4 linked regions of the Yarrowia lipolytica genome follow. The protein of the gene in region 1 purifies or fractionates together with the protein of each later gene. This does not show direct contact. Links are inferred from orthologs where the notes say so. Each region holds a gene or a part of one and is shown in the gene's direction. Other genes may lie near its edges.

The links.
Region 2: the proteins of YALI1_D23274g (region 1) and YALI1_E04790g purify together in Saccharomyces cerevisiae (affinity purification with mass spectrometry; 3 studies listed by BioGRID, with this or other methods). This does not show direct contact. The link is inferred for Yarrowia lipolytica from reciprocal best matches to the Saccharomyces cerevisiae genes RNA14 and CFT1.
Region 3: the proteins of YALI1_D23274g (region 1) and YALI1_F05781g purify together in Saccharomyces cerevisiae (affinity purification with mass spectrometry; 3 studies listed by BioGRID). This does not show direct contact. The link is inferred for Yarrowia lipolytica from reciprocal best matches to the Saccharomyces cerevisiae genes RNA14 and PTA1.
Region 4: the proteins of YALI1_D23274g (region 1) and YALI1_F35714g purify together in Saccharomyces cerevisiae (affinity purification with mass spectrometry; 3 studies listed by BioGRID, with this or other methods). This does not show direct contact. The link is inferred for Yarrowia lipolytica from reciprocal best matches to the Saccharomyces cerevisiae genes RNA14 and PAP1.

What each region holds. Positions count from the first base shown.
Region 1 is NC_090773.1:2,325,761-2,330,374, forward strand, and holds YALI1_D23274g (uncharacterized protein), read left to right. Parts: upstream 1-1,668; coding exon 1,669-4,089; downstream 4,090-4,614. Other genes in the region: YALI1_D23265g (uncharacterized protein), read right to left, coding at 1-757. UniProt on the Saccharomyces cerevisiae protein: Component of the cleavage factor IA (CFIA) complex, which is involved in the endonucleolytic cleavage during polyadenylation-dependent pre-mRNA 3'-end formation and cooperates with the cleavage factor NAB4/CFIB and the cleavage and polyadenylation factor (CPF) complex.
Region 2 is NC_090774.1:474,744-480,901, reverse strand, and holds YALI1_E04790g (uncharacterized protein), read left to right. Parts: upstream 1-1,843; coding exon 1,844-5,653; downstream 5,654-6,158. Other genes in the region: YALI1_E04807g (uncharacterized protein), read left to right, coding at 124-573; YALI1_E04795g (uncharacterized protein), read right to left, coding at 637-1,353. UniProt on the Saccharomyces cerevisiae protein: RNA-binding component of the cleavage and polyadenylation factor (CPF) complex, which plays a key role in polyadenylation-dependent pre-mRNA 3'-end formation and cooperates with cleavage factors including the CFIA complex and NAB4/CFIB.
Region 3 is NC_090775.1:575,580-581,443, reverse strand, and holds YALI1_F05781g (uncharacterized protein), read left to right. Parts: upstream 1-2,000; coding exon 2,001-2,242; intron 2,243-3,323; coding exon 3,324-5,352; downstream 5,353-5,864. UniProt on the Saccharomyces cerevisiae protein: Essential in pre-tRNA processing. Component of the cleavage and polyadenylation factor (CPF) complex, which plays a key role in polyadenylation-dependent pre-mRNA 3'-end formation and cooperates with cleavage factors including the CFIA complex and NAB4/CFIB.
Region 4 is NC_090775.1:3,569,658-3,573,704, forward strand, and holds YALI1_F35714g (uncharacterized protein), read left to right. Parts: upstream 1-1,780; coding exon 1,781-3,333; intron 3,334-3,383; coding exon 3,384-3,501; downstream 3,502-4,047. Other genes in the region: YALI1_F35690g (uncharacterized protein), read left to right, coding at 1-1,200; YALI1_F35746g (uncharacterized protein), read right to left, coding at 3,664-4,047. UniProt on the Saccharomyces cerevisiae protein: Polymerase component of the cleavage and polyadenylation factor (CPF) complex, which plays a key role in polyadenylation-dependent pre-mRNA 3'-end formation and cooperates with cleavage factors including the CFIA complex and NAB4/CFIB.

The sequences.
Region 1 (4,614 bases):
CACAGTCAGGCAGCGCAGGCAGCATTTGAAGCTGCAGATGAGCACACAGAAACACATCTGACGTGGAAACCGTGCTGAACAGACTTCCTTTGGCGACATTTGCTGTGGCAGTATCCATCATGTCGGTGTAAATTTCTGTGGCCGAGTTGAGCAGTCGGAAAACCGTCTTGGAAACGGCCTTGGAGGCGTCTTTCTGCTTTTCACGCTCAACAGACTGATCGTAGAGCTTACCCATGCTGGGCTTGGGGTTGGTGAGAGACTCGGACGCCATCTTGGTTGCCGAAACAGCCCACGAGGGCGTCGCCGTGTCGATTCCAGCGGCACAGCATCGGTCCTTGGCCTGTTCTCGAAGTCGTACACTGACATTGTATTGCATTAGGAAAGGCATGAACTCGTTGAACATGGGCCGGGTCACCTTCTGGTACGCCTCTTCGTCCACAAACAGACAGTACTCTGTGATTGTCTGCAGACTGCTCATGTAGGCCAGGAGAGCTGTGTTTTTGATTTGTTCGTCCGAGGTCAGATCGGCGTCGAGGTTGTGTCCCAGCGACTTGAGGTATCGAATGATGGACTCGGCGCCTCCGATCTTTTTCTCCGACGTCTCCAGACACGGCAGCTCGCCCGCCAGACCTTCATTGGACGACTGCACTACCGTGAAGTCGATATCACATAGCTGCATGTACCAGATGGTGGCGAGACAGGGGGCGGAAAAGGTCAGGGAGGTGGACACGGGGCCCCAGACGTGCAGACGGAACATGATTTTCGGGGAGAGAATGAGAATGCGGTTGTAGACTGTTCTTTCTAAGAGGTTATGAGCATATCACCCAGTTTGTGAGTACAGTACACTCGGTTTGTGAGTGTGTAGGCGCGTTTGTGTTGGATGAAGAGGTGAATCAATAACGAGGGAGCTGTTCCGACGATGGTCAGCTGGTTGTATCTGTGTCTATCGCTGGTCTGTCGACTCCGTCAAGACTACAGCATGTACTACTTTTCATATATCGTAGGAGGTGGGTGGGTGGATGCGTGTGTTCGATTCGGGGTGGGGCAGAATAATGAAATTAATAAATATCTTCGGAAGAACGGATAAGTGGGACGTGGTGGCAAGGGTTTGTGCATAAAGTAGTGTTTTAGAAGACTGGTTGGTCGCTTCTAGTGCAATGGAGACCGTGACTGGGGAGATGCGGGGGGCGGGCTCCCCATGGAGGGCAGTGGAGATGGTACTTGTTCAAATATGCGATTTAACTGGTTGAAATGACACTTATTAAAACCATTTTTTTCTCATACGCATAGGCAGCTCTCATAAATGGAGGGGATGCTTTTTCACCTTCCAGCACTCACCGAAAGTCCCCGATCGAAGGGGTTCTGGAGTCGCAGCTATTACTTGGGAGTTTCAACTAACTTTGGGGGGTTTGTTAGGTGTTTACAAGGGATAGCAACGTTCCAGAGACTCGATCCAACTCGGTCTATAGTTATCCGATTGATTAGCTGAAAGTGCCAGTTGTATTCTAATAGCCCCAAAAACAGAATCCATGGCCCCTAATCAGCCTTATACCACCAGCAAACGCTCGTTAATGCCACCTCCCATTTTTCACCGCCGCCACACACAACCACCAACCTAAATCCGCATACACTACTTGCAGCACTTTTCAGACCCTGTCACTCCTCAACATGTCTGACGATTACGATCCTACGGCCGTGGCGTTCAAGCCGGGCGACATGGAGACGGATATGAACACTGGCGAGCCGCTGGCGCTCGAGGCCGAGGCTGCTGCCAAGGACCCGGCACATAATGAAGAAAGTGGTGAAGATACAAACGCAAACGTCGAGTCGGGGACCCTGGTGCACCAGGGCGACGAACCTGAATCGATTGACAAGGAGGACAAGGTGGAGGATGGACCAGACACAAAGAGCGATGGAGGAGTGTTAGACGAGCCCAAGGATGGGGAGCAGAGGGATGATGAGAAAAGGGAAGAACCCAAGCCTGAGAACTCGTCTGAAGAAGTCGCGGAAGATGACGACTATGTGCCTGCAGCGGTGAGTGAGCCTGTGGAGGAGGACTCGGCTGGAGGAGGGTCGGTTGGAGGAACCGGAATCCCTGATGGAGCTATCAGTTCTTTGGCTGCAAGCACTACCATCCCCCCTCCCAGCGACCCCAACCAAGTGGGAGGAGGAGCCAGCTCCACCAGCAACAACAACAACAGCGGCCCAGATAACAACAAGCGAAAACGACTGGCCACAGACACAATCGGCATTCTTGAGGACCGCATCGCCGCCAACCCCCGAGACATGCCTGCGTGGCTGGATCTGATTTCGACGATTGTGCGCAAGGAGAAGCTGGACGAGTCGCGGGACATTTACGAGCGGTTTCTGGCTCTGTACCCGCTGTCGGCCGAGATTTGGATCGAGTACATCACGCTGGAAATGGACAATGGCGAGTTCAAGCGCCTGGAGCAGCTGTTTGGGCGGTGTCTGACCCGCCTGCCCAACCTCAAGCTGTGGAACATCTACCTGACTTATGTGCGGCGAGTCAACGTGCTGTCTTCCGAGTCGGACAAAATCACTGAAGCCCGAACAAACATCATCAAGGCCTTTGAGTTTTACCTTGACCATGTCGGCATTGATCGAGAGAGTGGCAATGTGTGGTTTGAGTACCTGGACTTCATCAAATCCAAGCCGGCTACAACTACCTGGGAGGAGCAGCAGAAGAATGACCTCACGCGCAAAATATACCGAAAGGCGATTGGCATCCCGCTCAACAACCTGTCGATTCTGTGGACCGCCTACACCAACTTTGAGTACTCGCTCAACAAGGCCACAGCTCGAAAGTTCATCAATGAAAAGTCTGGCAGCTGCCAAAACGCCCGACAGTGCCAGACGGTGCTGGAGAACCTGATGCGGGGTCTGGACCGAAGCAGTGTGCCCAAGTCCGGGCCCAGAGACGAGTTCCAGGTGCGAGCTTGGAAGAAATGGATCGACTGGGAGAAGAGCAACCCTCTGGGTACCGACAACAAGGCCGAAACCAACAAGCGGCTGCTGTACTGCCTCAAACAGGCCGTTATGAGCTTGCAGTTTGTGCCCGAGATTTGGTTTCTGGCTGCTGAGTACTGTTTTGACGACCCTCTGCTCAAGACCGAGGCTCTGCAGTTTCTCAAGGATGGCCTCTCTCTCAACCCCAACTCATCGCTGCTGGCTTTCCGGCTCGCCGAGTACTACGAGCGGGAAGCCGATGCTGAAAAGATGCGAACCATTTACGATGAGCATATTGAGTCTCTGGGCAAGGAGAGACAGGCTCTAATTGAAGCTCAGGGCGATCCGGAGGCCGAGCCTACTGCTGAGATCATCAAGCTCAACACCCAGATCTCCATTGCGTACTCGGTGTGCATGAAGGCCGTGAAACGGTTTGAGGGTATCAAGCCAGGCCGAATGGTGTTCAAAAAGGCCAGAAACACTGGGTTTGCCACCTACCACATTTACGTCGCGTCTGCGCTGATGGAGTTTCACCACAACAAGAACCCCACGGTTGCCACCAACGTGTTTGAGCTTGGTCTCAAGTACTGCGGTTCCAATGCAGCCTACGTTCAGCATTATCTCGACTTTCTCATTTCTCTGCACGACGACACCAACGCACGGGCTCTGTTTGAGAAAACCATTCCTCTTCTAGGTCCGTCGGACGCTGCTTCGCTCATCAAGTCGATGATCAAGTTTGAGTCTGACTTTGGCGAGATCACCAGTGTGGTCAAGCTGCAGGACCGTCTGCGGCAGCTCAACCCCGACACGTCGCCCATCACCATCATTGCCGACCGGTTCGCTACCTCGGACTTTGATGTCATTCGACAATGCGACATGCTGCAAAAGCCCAAGTCGCGAACCGACGAAGATTCTGACTCGGAGCGGCCCAGCAAGAGAGCTCGCCGAACCTCTCACGGAAACGACCAGGGCGACAAGATGGAACCTTTCAACCTGCCTCAGAAGATTGATGCTTTGCTAAGGCAGCTTCCCAACTCTTCTGACTATGGAGAGGCTACGTTTGATCCTCAGCGGCTGGTGGATTTGTTTAGGGACGTGAGAATTCCGGACGGACTTCTTTAGCGGGTGGATGCTGGTGAGCACAAGGACCCACAAAGAGCAAAAGGAGGGGGACTGAAGAACTCGAGTCTTGTGCTTCAGCAAACAATGTCTGGATTGTTATATGGTTGTATGAGGGAGCGAGGGGTAGGCATATAATTGTCAATGTATTGTAGAGTAAGTACCATATTGATGGATAACAGTAGTTTAATGTGGCATCAATTGCAACTAAGACAATAGTCCTCAGTCAGCATCGCCACATTTCTCCTTAAAGCAATCTACCACGCCATCCCGTAAGACAGCGAAGACTTTGTAAGACACACGAACCGCGGCCGGTGAAGGTTGCTGCTGTGAGTGTTTAACACGCGCTCTTTAGCCCTTCAGGGTGTAAAAGAAGCCGTCTCTTTTGGAGTCAGTTTTGGCCGTGATCCAAAAGAGAGTGTAAATGTGTGTCTTTTCGGCACAAGAGCCGTCTCCGACGTTTAGCGGAGCTATCGACGCACCGGGCGGCGTTTCCAGTCGCTATCTCATGCATCGCTTCATTTCCGG
Region 2 (6,158 bases), on another chromosome or scaffold:
CGCACTCAAACGTCTCTGTGGGGTGCATATTCACATGCAGAAATTGGACTACGATACAACTCTAAAGGACTTCAAACATCATCTCCAACTGTGCTCATCTCATCTTCTATCGATTAGCACACCATGTCCTTCATCCTCAATCACCTCAACGAAACTACCCTCAACGTCCAGGGTGACGAGGGTGTCCAGTTCTCCATTGTCGGCGGCCTGGGCACTTTGGCCTCTGCTTACGCCTCGTATCTCATGTGTACCCGGGTGCCTACTTCTAACAAGACTTGGCTTGCTGCCACAGTTGCATCTCTGTTCATCTCAATTGGCAACCAGTACCAGTGTCAGTTCACTCCCGGGTCCCCCGCCAACTCGTCTTACATTGGTCGACTTCCCTGGACCGTTCTGCGAGTAGCCTTCCTGGCAGTGGTCTATGGTCAGCTCAACCTTGGAGGCACCAAGTTTACATGGGCTGCTGGAAATCCTCTGCACATCCCTGTTCTTTTCCTGGCCAGCTATGTGCTCAACGAGGTCGGAAATGTCCTTCGAAAGCCCATTCCCAAGCCTGTCGTGAAAGACGAGTAAATCTTCACCATCTTTATATAATGACAATGCACGACAACGATTCGATTGGTCAGTAGATCTCGATTAAGTCCGTTCACCAGACAAGTCTCCAAAATCAGCTGGAAGCGGTGGCATGATGGGACCATCAGGACCTCTCTCAATGTCCTCAATCTGGTTCCAAAATGACAAGCTGCCTTGATCACGATCAAAGGGAGGTCTGCACCCTGCAGCTTCTACAGCGCGAATGAACTTCTCAACAATTGCTAGTCGCAATATCGGAGGGTACACCTTGTCATGGTACAGAACTGTGTCGGTGAAGTTGGTGTCGAATCGTAACCTCTCGATTTTGTGACAACTGTCTGCCTCAATGAAGTAGTAGAGAAAGGACTGGTCGTAGAGCAAAAGGCTGGCAAGAGTAACTTCGTGGGCCTTGAGATACTCGGCTAGCTGGGGGTAGAACTGCTGATACAGATCCCGCCTCCAGTTGCGAAACACAGTGCCCACAGGCAACCCTATCCACGGAGTTATATCCTCGTAGTACGATACAGAAAATTGTTTGATTGCTGGGAAGTTTTTTCGGTTGAAGAACATCGTTGTGACTGCTGAGTCGAAATGAACATGCTGGATCAGGGGCGCACATGTTAGTAGAGGGGGAACGTAGCCTGCAGAGTAGTAGACGTCTTTCCAGATGTCAGTTGCCAGCAGTTCATAGAGGTGTTTGTTGACACATGTTAATCGAGACAGGTCCTTGAAGTCGAGAAAAGTCGCCACTAGTGTAATCAGTTCGGGTGGGAGTTGCATGATCTAGCAAAGTGTGGCGGTTGATGTTGAACTTGCAAGTATTTACCTCGTTATGCATGTTGGAAAGTGCTTGTAATTAAGAGGCGATAGGTGTGATGCTGGGCCACAGTAGAGATGGATACCCGGCTTGGTAGCTTGCACTAAAACAAGTGACTTTAGTAAATACTGTTCTGTCAAATAGGCCCACTCCACCTCGGTAGCCGTAATACTGCCCGACCCACCCGCTCCATATTTCAACTAATGTAAGTAACACTGTGCGATTCGTAAGGAACATCTGGACACAGGGCTCATCCAGTCACGACTCAATATCCAGAAGTTCTCTTAAATGCCTTTTCGTTTCAAAACTATTGCCCTTACATCACACATCCCCTCAATATTCGTCACACCTCTTTCAACCATCCCGTCCGAACTCCCAAACTTAAGGTTCTGAAAGTCCAAGAAATCATCACGATCTGGAACTACAGGATATACTGTCTCACAGTAGCACGACATGCACATTTTCAAGAATCTGACAGAGCCGACCGCCGTCACTCACAGTCTGTCGTGCAACTTCACCGGCGAGAGGAACCTGGTGCTAGTCAAGGGCTCGCAGCTGCTCCAGATCTTCCGATACAAGGACGACATCCCTACCAAGGATGAAGCTCCTCGACTCGAGCTCATCACCGAATACTACCTCGATGGAACCGTCACGGGCGTGACCCGAATAAAGACAATCGACAACTACGATTTGGATTCGCTCTACATCTCTGTCAAGCATGCCAAGGCCGTGATTGTTGCATGGAATGCTAGCAGTTTCACCATCGACACCAAATCGCTGCATTACTACGAAAAAGGCTTGGTCGAGAGCAACTTCTTCGAGCCCGAGTGCTCGTCTGTTGCTGTATCAGATGAGGCGAACTCGTTCTACACCTGTCTGCTGTTCCAGAATGATCGAATGGCGTTTCTGCCTATTATCGAGAAGGGTCTTGATGACGATGAGATGCCAGAAAGTGGCCAGGTATTTGATCCCTCCTTCATTGTTAAGGCATCGAGGCTCGATAAACGTATCGAGAACGTGATGGATATCTGCTTCCTTCACGAGTACCGAGAAACGACAATGGGTATCCTTTTTCAGCCCAAGAGAGCATGGGTGGGTATGAAGAATATTCTCAAGGACACGGTGAGCTACGCTATCGTCAGTGTCGACGTCCATCAGAAGAACTCCACCGTAATTGGTACCTTGAATGGCCTGCCAGTGGATGCCCAGAAGGTCATTCCTCTGCCTGCTCCTCTTGGTGGCTCACTTATCATCTGCGCCAACACCATTCTCTACATCGACTCCTCGGCTAGTTACACAGGTGTCATGGTCAACAACACACATCGACAAAACTCTGATCTCATCGTATCGAGGGACCAGTCGACTCTTGACCTGCGACTGGAAGGTGCTGAGGTCTGCTTCATCCAGGAGTTGGGCAATACCGCCCTCTTGGTGACAGAAGATGGCCAGTTTTTCAGTCTGCTGTTCAACAAGGATGGTAGACGTGTGGCTAGTCTCGAACTGCGACCTATTGAGCCAGACAACTTCATCCTATCCCAGCCTTCCTCTGTTGCAGCTGGGCCTGATGGAACTATTTTCCTTGGATCTCGAGCTGGAGATTCGCTCTTAGTCAAGTGGTACCATGGTGAGCCAGAAAGTCAGCCCGAGGAGACTCTAGATGACGGAAACGAGTCTGACGATGATCTTTATGGCGGTGACACAGCTCAAACAGAGGACACTACCAATCGTCCATTGAAGCTACGTCTGGCCGACCGCATGCTTGGTATGGGACCCATGCAATCGCTGGCTTTGGGCAAGAATAGAGGCAGTCAAGGTGTTGAGTTTGTCACTACTACAGGTGTCGGTGCAAACTCTGCTCTGGCCATTCTCACAAGCGCACTGATGCCATACAAACGCAAGTCCTTGTATAAGGACATGCCGGGAGGCCAGTTCTGGTCAGTACCCGTGCGTTTTGAGGAGGAAGGGGAGGTTGCCAAATCTCGAACTTATGTTGTCTCGTCTGACAGTGAGAACTCATATCTGTACTATGTTGATGCCGCTGGGGTTATTGAAGACGTTTCTCTCAGTACCAAGAAGAAGAAGACCAAGAAGCATTTTGTTTCGAATGTCACCACAATCTTTTCTTCTTCAATGCTGGATTCGGCGCTCCTCCAGGTCTGTTTGGAAACTGTCAACATTTACGACGCCAAGATCGGACAGCCCCACAAATACTCCCTGCCCCAAGGTACTACAGCCGTGGAGGCTCGTGTACTGGGCAACTACGTGCTTGTGTTGCTGTCTGATGGCCAGGTGAAGATATTGGAGGCCGTGAGCATCAACAAGAGACCATTCTTGAAGGCTGCGCAGGTCTCTATCGAGCCTGCCAGTGAGTCCAAGGCCATCGGTATCTACGCCACTGACTCCTCCCTTACTTTCGGTGCACCAAGCAAGAAACGTACACGCCAGGGATCTCCCGCTCAAGACTCGCGACCTGTTGTTGTTGTGTGCTACGCGGATGGGTCTCTTCTGCTCCAAGGTCTGAATTCCGACGATCGTCTCATTCTAGATGCTTCTGATCTGTCTGGCTTCATCAAAGAGAAGGACGGTCAGCTCTATGATGCCCCTCTTGAACTTGTGGACATCGCATTGAGTCCCCTTGGAGACGATCATATTCTTCGGGACTACCTGGTTCTCCTCACTCCTCAGCAGCTTGTCGTTTATGAGCCTTATCACTACAATGACAAGCTGAGGTTCCGAAAGATCTTCCTTGAGCGAACCCCTACAATCAACTCCGATAGACGACTTACCCAAGTCCCTCTTATTAACGGAAAACACACACTTGGAGTGACTGGTGAAACCGCGTACATCTTAGTCAAGACTTTGCATACTTCTCCGCGACTAATCGAGTTCGGTGAGACTAAGGGCGCAGTTGCTTTCACTTCCTGGGACGGAAAATTTGCTTACTTGACGCAAGCGGGAGAGGTGGCCGAGTGCAGATTCGACCCTAGCTTTTCTCTCGAGACCAATTGGCCCGTGAAGCATGTCCAGCTCTGCGGAGAGACCATTTCCAAAGTCACATATCACGAGACCATGGACGTTTATGTCATTGCTACTCACAAGACAGTTCCCCATGTTGTCCGTGATGAAGACGACGAGGTGATCGAGAGTCTTACACCAGACATCATGCCTGCCACTACCTATCAGGGTGCCATTCGCATCGTCAACCCTTATTCGTGGACTGTCATTGACTCCTATGAGTTCGAGATGCCCGCTGAAGCGGCCCTCTGTTGCGAGTCTGTCAAGTTGTCCATCTCTGATAGAAAGTCACAAAAGCGGGAGGTGGTGGCTGTCGGAACCTCCATTCTTAGAGGTGAGGATCTCGCTGCTCGAGGTGCTCTGTACCTCTTTGATGTCATTGAGATTGTTCCTGAGAAGGAACGACCCGAGACCAATAGACGACTCAAGAAGCTGGTTCAGGACCGTGTCCGTGGGGCCTTCACTGCTGTCTGCGAGGTATCTGGTCGTCTTCTAGCTGTCCAGGGCCAGAAGCTGCTTGTACAGGCTCTTCAGGATGACCTTACCCTCGTTCCTGTTGCTTTCCTCGATATGCAGACTTACGTGGCCGTTGCCAAGAGTCTGAACTCCATGCTTCTGCTCGGTGATGCCACCCGATCTGTCCAGTTTGTCGGGTTCTCCATGGACCCGTACCAGATGATCCCGTTCGCCCGTGACCTGCAGAGGGTGTTGGTTACCACCTGTGACTTTGCTATCGAGGGTGAGAACCTGACATTTGTTGTGGCTGATCTCCAGAAACGACTGCACATCCTCGAGTACGACCCCGATGACCCTCAGTCGTACTCTGGAGCCCGTCTCCTGAGACGTTCTGTATTCTACTCTGGAAAGGTGATCGATTCCTCGGCCATGGTACCCATAAACGAGGATCGATTCATGGTGATTGGTGTGTGCAGTGATGGATCAGTGACTGACGTCGTCCCTTGCCCTGAAGATGCCTACAGACGTCTCTATGCCATCCAGACTCAGATCACCGACAAGGAAGCCCACGTCTGTGGGTTACATCCTAGAGCCTACAGGTACGATCCCATCTTGCCTGGCACTGGAAACAGTCCCCACAGACCTATTCTTGATGGCCACACCTTGATTCGATTTGCTAACCTGCCCCGAAACAAGCAGAACGTGTATGCTAACCGTCTGGGTCAGCGATATCAGCAGTTGATCTGGAAGGACCTTGAGCTCATCTCTGACCTGTTCAAGAAATGTATTTGAGTCTGTCAATGACACAATAATGTATATTTTAATATTAGTGTATTTTTAGATAAGTTGTAGTTACAGTATTGTAGCTACAGTACATACCAGTTGCCAGGCTAAGCAGCTGTCGACAAATAGCACCATCCTAAGTGAGAACAGAACACCCCACTCTTTTCAGTTGTAGAGATATACCAGCGGGCACCATGGACCGTATGTAGACTGTTGGTCATAAGCATACCCAACAACGTAGAACATGCTACAGTACTTCCCCAACGTGGCTTTACACTGCCGAGTTGCCGATCTGGTGGAACAGAGCATCGCCCTCCAGATCTATACTTCGCTGGGTACCCCCGGGAAAGAGAACATTAGAACGTAAGGCAAACAGATAGGAGGCTACTGTATAGTACATACTGTGAAAAACGCATTCCATACAAACAGACCTTATCCCTATTCCCCGTCAAAGCTATCCAATACGTATACTGTATATGATCAAGCTGATTGAAAATCTGCGATAAGCTAACTA
Region 3 (5,864 bases), on another chromosome or scaffold:
GTAGTTGACCAGGGTATCATGTTCAGGAGGCTCGTTTATATACGTTTGTGCATGCGTTTATGTCACTTGTTTGTGCCCCCGTTTCCTGCTCTCTCCATTTCCCATTGACATCGCCAAATAGAGAAGACGAGTGCGACCTTGTGCATACTACATGCGCTTGGGTTAGGGATAGAGAGATTGATCTGGTGGGATCAGGGGAGATCAGGGGAGATCAGGGGGGGCTCTGAGTGGGATTTTCGGGTGGTATCACGTTATTAGAGTAATTATGGCCGGTCACGAAGGATATTGATTGACATGATTGTGTGTGGTCTAAAAAATACCAGAAATGATGATTGTATGCCAGAGTTAATGGATGGGAAGGTTCTCTTTTTTGGTGTGGCCAGAACAGGGACAGAAATGGAGGTATGGGTAAAACATGCATTTTTGAAGATGGTAGCTGGGTATTGGAGGTGAGTGGAGATTGGTTCTCTGAGGGAGGTATTTCCCCTTTTTGTGCTATTCGTGTCAGTGTTGCACTTTTCATCAGCTCCCATAATTTCTCCCATACTGTGGCGTGTTTACTGGAACTGATACTGTACATGCCTCAAGTACAAGTACAGTATATACTGTACACTCGTATATATTGTTACGTCTGCGGGGTCTGTTAGCGAAATGTGGGTCGTTTGATTGGCTGAAAATTGGAAATTAATTTTAATATCCGCGATATATTATTGTTCTGTCAAAATTTGGTCTGTTTCTGGACACTTCTTAGTGGACTGGAAGGACCCTTTGATCTCTTGTTGGCAGGCAGTGTATGTTCGATCTTAGCTCGTCAGAATGACGTTAAAAAGGGGAAGAAAAAAAAAGAAAAAAAGTGAAATTTTTGGGGCTTACAGAGTGTGTTTTTTTAAAGTGGAACTTATGGGGAAAATACATAGCGGGTTTTATGATAAATCATAGTTGATTGAATCTATGCTACAGTATTCCCACTTCCTTCGCTCAGCAGCTGGACCTGAGAAATATTGGGTGTGGTCTTCGCCTTCTAACTCACGTGACCTCTGGAGTTGGTTTCCTGAGTTCATTGTGATCATTTTGATACCATAAAGTCCAGTTTCTGTTTTTTTTCCAGCTCCTTTTTTGTCCGTTACCATTCCCACATACTGCGAGTACATCTTGTCTGGTTGGTACACCACCCTACATACTGTAGTCGCATTCTGCTTCAACGATCCAACATAGCTATTGGCGGGAGTGAAGCAAAGACGCTAATGAGTACTGTATTGGTAGCTTCCGGGAAGCATTTCGAACACAATCTTTCTTTTCCACTTCCCTTTTTTCTTGTATATTCTCGTTCTAAGATGCTACAACTACTTGTAGTCGTCCTCGTGCTTTAATTTTCTTCAGTCTAAGTACACTGTGTACACTACATCCTATATAAAATATAAAACATAAAAAGAGTACATACCGTCGAAATTATACTTGCACTCTGATCACTCCAATTGTGGTAATTTTTGGTCTAATAGAAATCTGAAAATACCATTGAGATCAGCTTGGAATTTCTAATACAGTACAAGTGTATAAAGCTCTTCAGAGTGACGCTGCCAGTATTGACCATTCTGACCATCCAGAGTTCGTACAATATGCTCTCTTCAATTAACTCTTGTAATCTTCATGTAGAACACCCAGCTTTATTTCCCCAGAGTGTCTTCGATTTTGGCCAAATTGACGCCCAAAACATCACATTCCTTCAAAATCCCATGATAAACATCCTTCAATTCTCCGTTTCATCTCTCTCCTCGCCAATCCCATTCTTGGTCCCTCCCCCCGTTTCACCTCACACCCATGAAATACAGTCCAGATAAAGTTTGCCAGTCCCAACTCAACTTTCTCCCGCCCACTGCACACTGTCTTTGACACCACACACAAGACAGTAATTGTACCAATCGTTTGTCAATCGTTTGCCAATCGTTTTTCGATCGTTTTTCGATCCTTTTGCAACCGTTTGTCAACCGTGTTCGATCACCATGTCATTAACAGAACAGCTGGCGAGTCTTGGCCAGGTCGCAGACATGGCCGCCAAGGACGCCGCGCTATACGAGCAGTATGTGCCGTCTCTACTGGAGCTGGCTTCTCGTCCCGAGAAGGAGCTGCAACAGTGGCTGGCGGACTTTCTGCTTGATGCGCTGGCGTCGGTATTGGCGCTGGAGAAACGACGCGAGCTGGCGCTCAAGGCGCTGACGGTGGTGGACAAGTTGCTGAATGGAGAGGTGAGTACTATGTGACTGTAGGGACTGGACAAGATCAAGTGACCCTGACCTGCCTGAGGTTGCCCTCAGCATTTTTTAAGTCACATGACTGTTCTTGTGACAACGACGCAAACCGCAATTGTCAACTGTAATGGCCGTTGTGTCTAGTTTATGGCGTTGTACTATCTCTGAGTTGGACGTTGATCCGACAGACGACCCACTGCGTGATCGACTCAACGTTTAGCTTGCGGGGTTTGTTTTCTCGACAACGTGGACTGATTCAACGACACCAGTATCGACACAGATCCAGACGTCACACTTTTCCACACGTGACTCTTATCCATTATTGTAGAACTTCGGCGACCGTGTTGGTGGCCCCCCAGTATGCTCCTGGAGTCATCATCGACTGATTGCATCTTTCTGGGTCCACCATCCCAATGCTGTCAAGGACAAGAACATGTGTTTGGGACAAAAATGACATAGCAACTAGACGGAGAGACACGCATCAGGTCATGTGACGTGGCAGGGGAGGTTTTTGGCCGTTTTGCGTTCCCCACTGACAGACGGTTGACGATCTAGCCTAGCGCATCGCAGTCTTTCGCTATAGAAAATGTCTGTCTACTTAGTCAGTGGAACCGTCTTTGCATCACTGACAATGCTTCATTAGCTATATATGCGAATTGAAGCGTTTCAGAAGTGCCAACAGATCCAGTGTTTCTCTCCAATTTTCGGACAGGCGTGCCTCCTACTGCTTGACTCCTGTGGATTCTGGTCAATTCTGGCTGGACATGTAGCTCTGGTTGTCTATTTCAGTTGTTTCTGCCTCCAGAGCAACTATGGATATTGTCCCTCTGACTGCACCGTTTTTGTTACTGCTGTCTAGGATTGATGTATGTCTTCTAGACATATGTCTTATCTAGAGAGGAGTTGCTGTCGAGACTGATGTTGTCTAGAGATATGGTGCTGTCCAGAGACATTACTATTCTAGAGACATCAACTCCCGATTGTCCGCTCAAACTCTGGTATTCGTTGTATTACGTCCTACTGTTGTCCGCTTAGTCCTCGGTCCTCGGGCCTTTGCTTTCGTTTCCCACTAACCCAGCCCAAAACCCCTATTCTCCTTTCCGCCCTCATCTACCCCCTGGTCTTCTCCGCGGTCTCCCTCAACCCGAAACTCTCCTCCGAATGGTCCACTCTGACCTCCCTCAAAGAGCGGATCACGTCCATCTGGAGCAACGACCCTTCACCCTCGGTCGAAATAGCATGCATCAAATTTGCCCAGCAGCTCGTGCTCGTCCAGTCACGGGGCCAATCAGGTCCTGCTGACCCGCGTCTGGCCGCCAGATCAAAGCCGTCAGCCGAGGCCAACATGAGCATGGTGCCGCCTAACCACCCGCTCATCCACAGATCACTCGAGGCCGAGGGCCAGGGTAGTCTGGACCGCCTCCTAGGCAACCTCACTGGTGACGACTTGTCACATGACAACCAGAAAATCGCAGAACCCATTTTCACAGCAACCGTGTTTGCTCTGGCCCCCATTCTCAAACAAAGACCCGAGTACGGCAACAGAATTCTGCAAACGGTGTTGGCGGTGGACCCGGTGGCTATGGAGACGAAATTCACTTCCAAACTCGCCGTTCGCTTCTGCGAAAAGTCGCTCAAAATGCTGGTTACCCACTGCTTACGTAACAAGATCCACGTGCAGCTGCGACACAGAATGGAACGGTTTCTGGCCGAGGTGGGCCGAAAACGACCGGCCCCAGTCGACGATCACGTGACCAAGCGCCAGAAGACGGAGGAGCCGACCACCAATGCATCTACACCTACTCCTGTATCCATGAGCACCACCATGCCCCCCAATGCAGACTCATATAGCGCTCTGTTCACTCTGATTCCTGCCAACGACCCGTTGGTGGCTTTCGACGCCCGGACGTTACCCCAGCAACTGGCGCTTCAAATCGCGCTCACCGGTTTGCTGAGCGTAGACGAAGCGGTTCTTAGAAGTCGAGTTGGAGTGGTGAAGCAAAGATGGGACAATTGGCAACAACAAGAAAAGGCCAAGGAAGAGGCCAAGAAGTCCAGATCTGAGTCACGTGATATCCAGAACAGACGAAGCGAGTCGCGAGACTACCGGTCCGGGTCCCGTGAAGACGACGACGACGAGAGGGACGACTCCCGATCTCGCGGACGGGCTCAGTCGCACAACACCGGTTCCCGCTCTCGATCCCGCGACGTCTCCATGGAATCACGCGACTCTCCTGTTTCACGTGATTCCTCGCTCGACTCCCGAGTTTCTTCCGACTATTCACAGACCGAAACCGACTCAGCAGTCACTTTCCAACTGCCACCCCCCGAGCCCCTTTCAGAGTCTGAAAAGCTTACGGCCGGAACCGAAATCGTGTCGCGGTTTTTGACACAAAAGGACGTAGCGGTGGCAACAGCCAAGTCGCTGGATATCCAGAAGAATGCCATTTCCAAGCTGGCTATCAACGAATGGACCGGCGGTTCGTGGATGGTGATTTTGAGTCGATTGTTGAGCCGTGGTCTTGCTTATGACCCCGAAACCGAGCCTGCCGACTCTCTCAAGGTCCAACTTTCCACTCACATTCGAAACCAGCTGTTGAACATGGCCACTACGGCGTTTACAGCGAATTTCGAGGACGTCATGACCTGGCTCAACGAAGAATGGTACTCGGAGCTGATCCGGTACGGTAAAGTTACTCCAGCCACGTCTGTCTACTACGAGTATGCTTCCCGTATCATGGACACTCTTGTTCAGACCATTGATCCCGACAACTGGAAGTATTTCATCAGACTGGTGGGCGAGCTTCCCGAGCTCGATTACGGCCTGGTTAGTAAGCTCAAGCATCTTCTGATTGACCCTGATCGGTCGGTTATTGGTGTTCGGTCGCTCAAGTATCTTATCATGCTGCGTCCTCCTACCCGAGACTACTGTCTCGATGTCATTGAGGAGGTTTACCAGGAGAATGAGAGTCTGAGAGGCGGTTTCAAGCAGGTTCTGGGCAAGTATAGACCGTTGGTTGTTGAAGGAGTTGAGAGGAAGATGTTGGAGGTGAAGAAGGAGGAGGCTTCTGAGGAGCCCAAAGCACAGGTGAAGCAGGAGCAATAGATAATGAAGAGTTATGAACTTGTAGAATGTATTAGAGGAGCTGTAGTGGAAAGATGGGGAGTTATGAACAATACTGACAAAGAGACAGATGAATCCAAAGAAGATCTCCAGCGACAGATAGCGGTAATATGTCGGCGACACACGATTATTCTCTCCAAGTAGGGTCTTTAAACATATTGTAATATGGATTTGGCAAGATGGAGCCAGGTGATAGATACTACTGCAAACAACTCGCTTAGGCCAACCCACTGCAAGTTTCCGTTTTGAAAACTCTCCTCTCCAAGGTCGTCACGAGTGTAAGCAGGTCGTCTTAGCCCCGTCTGCCTGAGGGTTTCCACCAATATTTAGCCAGAGGAGATGTGAAAGAAACAAGAACCATTAATCAAAACCCCACCACTATCTACACGTTGCCCGCCACTCTTGTTACCGGGTCGACTGGCTTAACAGCAGCCCGAATGTCAAATACGCCCCTAAGGCAGATGCAGATGCCCCCAATTCAGGTCATACCGTCA
Region 4 (4,047 bases), on another chromosome or scaffold:
GGGCCGTTGATTGGAGGAGCTCTAACCCAAAATGTCAGTTGGCGGTGGTGTTTCTACCTGAACCTACCTATTGCCGGCTTCACCATGTGCATGCTATTCCTTCTACTGAAGAACAACAAGGGTTTGGAGTACGAGAATGATACTCGAACTGTGTGGCAGAAGCTCTTAAAGATTGACTTCTGTGGTATCATTCTTGTTGCTGGAGCCACTGTTTTACTTCTTCTGGCCCTTGATTGGGGAGGAACTACCCACCCTTGGGGGTCAGGCATCATTATCGCCTTTCTGGTGGTTGCCTTCGTGCTCTACGGCATCTTTCTTACTCTGGAGTGGTTTCAGGACCAACGGGAAAACTACCCTCGACCAATCATGCCTCCCAGCTTGTTTGCCAACAAGACCCGACTTGGAGGCTACCTCTTTACCTTCTTCCACTCCATTGTTTTCATGTGCATTTCTTACTTCATGCCCTTCATGTACCAGTCCGTCTACGGCAAGAGCCCCATGGGTTCGGCAGTCTACTTGCTTCCACAGGCCTTTGTCACCGGTGGACTATCTGCTGGAGCAGGTATCTTCATTGCAAAAACGGGCCATTATCTGCCTGTCATGTGGATCTCCAGTGTTATTATCATCGTCTTTACTGGAATGCTGAGCACTCTGGACGAGACCTCCAACGTTGGCAAGCGAATCTGTTACGTAATGGCTTGGGGTGCTGGTATTGGACCTGTTTTCCAGGCACCTCTAGTGGTCATTCACACCCAGGTTGAACGTAAGAACATTGCCATTAGTACCACAACCTGGAGTTTTGTGCGTATGCTGGGCATGTCCATTGGTATTTCCATTGGAGGTGTGGTGTTCCAGAACCAGATGGAGGACCAGATCAGTGACCCGGCCATCATCCGGCAGCTTCCCGAGTGGCTCCTGGAACCTCTGTCGGGAACCAATGCTGCTGCTGCTACCCAGATGCTCAACAATAAAGGGTCAGATATCAGTGCCCATGTGCTCAGTCTGGTGCGATACATGTACTCGCATGCATTCAAGTACGTCTTTTACACCTGTCTGGGTCTCTGTGGAGGTTTGTTGAGTGTGTTGTTGATTGGTAAGCACCAGGTCAAGATGAGAGGCGATCTGGGCAAGAAGGAAAAGCAGGAAAAGAGAGAAGCCGAGAACCGGGCGCTGTCAGAACAGCCGGGAGAATCAGTTTAAAATTAATGAATAATGACTAATGACTATAAAACGGAATATATCTGTACGGGTACTTAGGTGAATAATCAGATATGGCGAGGCATGCACTGCTGCTACTTACAGTACACTATGTACAGGGGTCTGTGAAAGCAGAATATATAAAGAAGGATTTTTGAACGAAATAGGCAACATCATGTTAAAGTAGCTACCGTACTACTTGTACTACACAATTAGGAATGTCTCAATATGAGCCATTTTAACCAATGTCTACTTGTTCACACGTTGATGAATCTAATTGAACACAGTAAGGATCATGACCAGCATAGAAGACCCAGCATGAGACACAGACGCGATTAGCACACATAATGCAAAGGGGAGCGTCCGACCAGTTACAAATCAATTTTAATATTATAGTACAACATACGAATTTTTGCTCTAGACACTGTTTGATGCTACATGCCCTTCTGAGGACCCACTTTGACTCGCTGCTTATGTAACTTCCCAACACTAAACAAACTTCGTCCATGGCGTTTTTGATCAACTAAGCGTATACTCACGACATACTGCCAAATCCCACACACCCACACACTACAGACACGCTATGGTGGAACAATACGGAATCACGGAGCCGATTTCCACGGCGCCCCCGACGCCCGAGGAGATTGCGCTCAACGGTGAGCTCATTGAGGAGCTTAAGCGACAAGGATCATTCGAGAGCGAGGCCGAGTCCAACAAACGGAAAAAAGTGCTGTTGATCATGCAGCAGTTGGCCCAGGAGTACGTGCGACAAGTGAGTCTCAAGAAGAACTTTTCGGATGGCATGGCCCGTGATGCCGGAGGCAAAATCTTCACGTTTGGATCTTACTCTCTGGGAGTCCATGGTCCGGGATCTGATATCGATACGCTGATTGTGGTCCCCAAACATGTGACTCGAGAAGACTTCTTTGAGGTGTTCGAACGTCTTCTCCGAGAACGGCCCGAGTTGGAGGAGATCTCTGCCGTACCCGACGCCTTTGTTCCCATCATCAAGGTCAAGTTCATGGGTATCTCCATCGATTTGATTTCGGCCCGTCTCGACATCCCCAAAGTGCCACTAGACCTGACGTTGGAAGACGACAACCTGCTGCGAAACGTGGACGACAAGGATCTGCGAGCTCTCAACGGTACGCGAGTGACCGACGACATTCTCCGTCTGGTTCCCAACAAGACGGTGTTCAAGCATGCCCTACGAGTTATCAAAATCTGGGCACAAAACCGAGCGGTATACGGAAACATCATGGGTTTCCCTGGAGGAGTACAGTGGGGAATTCTGGTGGCCCGAGTGTGTCAATTATATCCCAACGCCGTGGCTGCAGTGATTTTGTCGCGATTCTTCAACGTGCTTTTAAGATGGAGATGGCCCCAGCCAGTACTCCTCAAGAAGATTGAGGATGGCCCATTACAGGCGCGAGTGTGGAACCCCCGAATCTACTCGCAGGACAAATTGCACAGGATGCCCATCATCACACCTGCCTACCCTTCCATGTGCGCCACCCACAATATCACCGCCAGTACACAAAAGGTCATTTTGCGAGAACTTGAGAGAGGAGGCCAGATTCTCAACGAAATTATGCTGGGCCAGAAGCCGTGGTCGGCACTGTTTGAAAAGCACCATTTCTTCTCGGACTACAAATACTATTTATCGATTGTGGCGGCTAGCAAGGGCACGGCGGAACAGCAGCTCAAGTGGAGCGGTTTTGTCGAATCCAAATTACGACATCTTGTGCAGAAGCTCGAACTGCTGGACTCTATCGAGCTGGCCCATCCTTACGTGAAAACGTTCGACAAAGAGCATTTGTGCAACAGTGATGAAGAGGCTCTCAAGGTGGCAGACGGCCAGAACGTGGCAGCAGTGACTCTGTCGACTGACTTGGAGAAGGCTGTGGCCGACGAGGTTGGCGATGAGAAGTCAAAGGACGAGGCTGATCGAAAAGACAAGATCATTGTGTACACTACCACATTTTACATAGGCTTGGACATCAAGCTGGAGACCAAAGAAGGAGGCAAACGAAGATTGGACATCCTGGCACCCTGTCAAGAATTTTATAGAACTTGTCGAAGCTTCACCGACTACAACGAAGATATGCACAGCATCTTCATTGATTCTGTCAAAGCGTGAGTATACCACTAACCCCAAAACAGCTACCAAAACCCAACTAACACAGATACGATCTCCCTGAAGACGTGTTCAGACCTGACGAGACGCGACCAGAGAAACCTAGAAAGAAGAGAAAGAGAAAGGAGGCCCCCAAGGAGGGAGTCAAACCTGTTCCTGCGGAGTAGGCGTATTATACATATCCATAGGGTCAAAATACATTATAACGACAGCAGTAGAAATGAAAAACAACTATATAAAAGAATAAATTGATCGTGTTACATTTCAGTTGTGAGTGGTATTAACGGTTAATATACATTTAATACATTTTATACAGTTTATAGGTGAATCTACTTCTTTCGCTTAGCATCACCAGAGGGAGCGTCAGAAGCCCGCTTTTTTGTGAGAATGTCGTCAGTAACGTATGTGGTAGTCTCGGGTAGTCGCTTGACAATGTTATCAAGGATTTCCAGCTCTCCTTCAAGCACGATTGACGCCATCTTGTGCTTGTGGGTCTTGTCAGACTTCTCACCGTAGGTCTTTTTCTTGGACTCGACGAGTTCCGTCAGGGACTTGACAGCATCGTCGATGAGGAGACCCTGGTTGGACTTCTTCCACAACTGCTTGACGACCTGCTTTCGCAGGGACTTGTCCTGCTTGAGCTTGGACAACAGAGAGGTGTCCTTGGTGATGAGCTCGAGGAAGGAAATAAAGCACGCGAGATCAAACTCGAT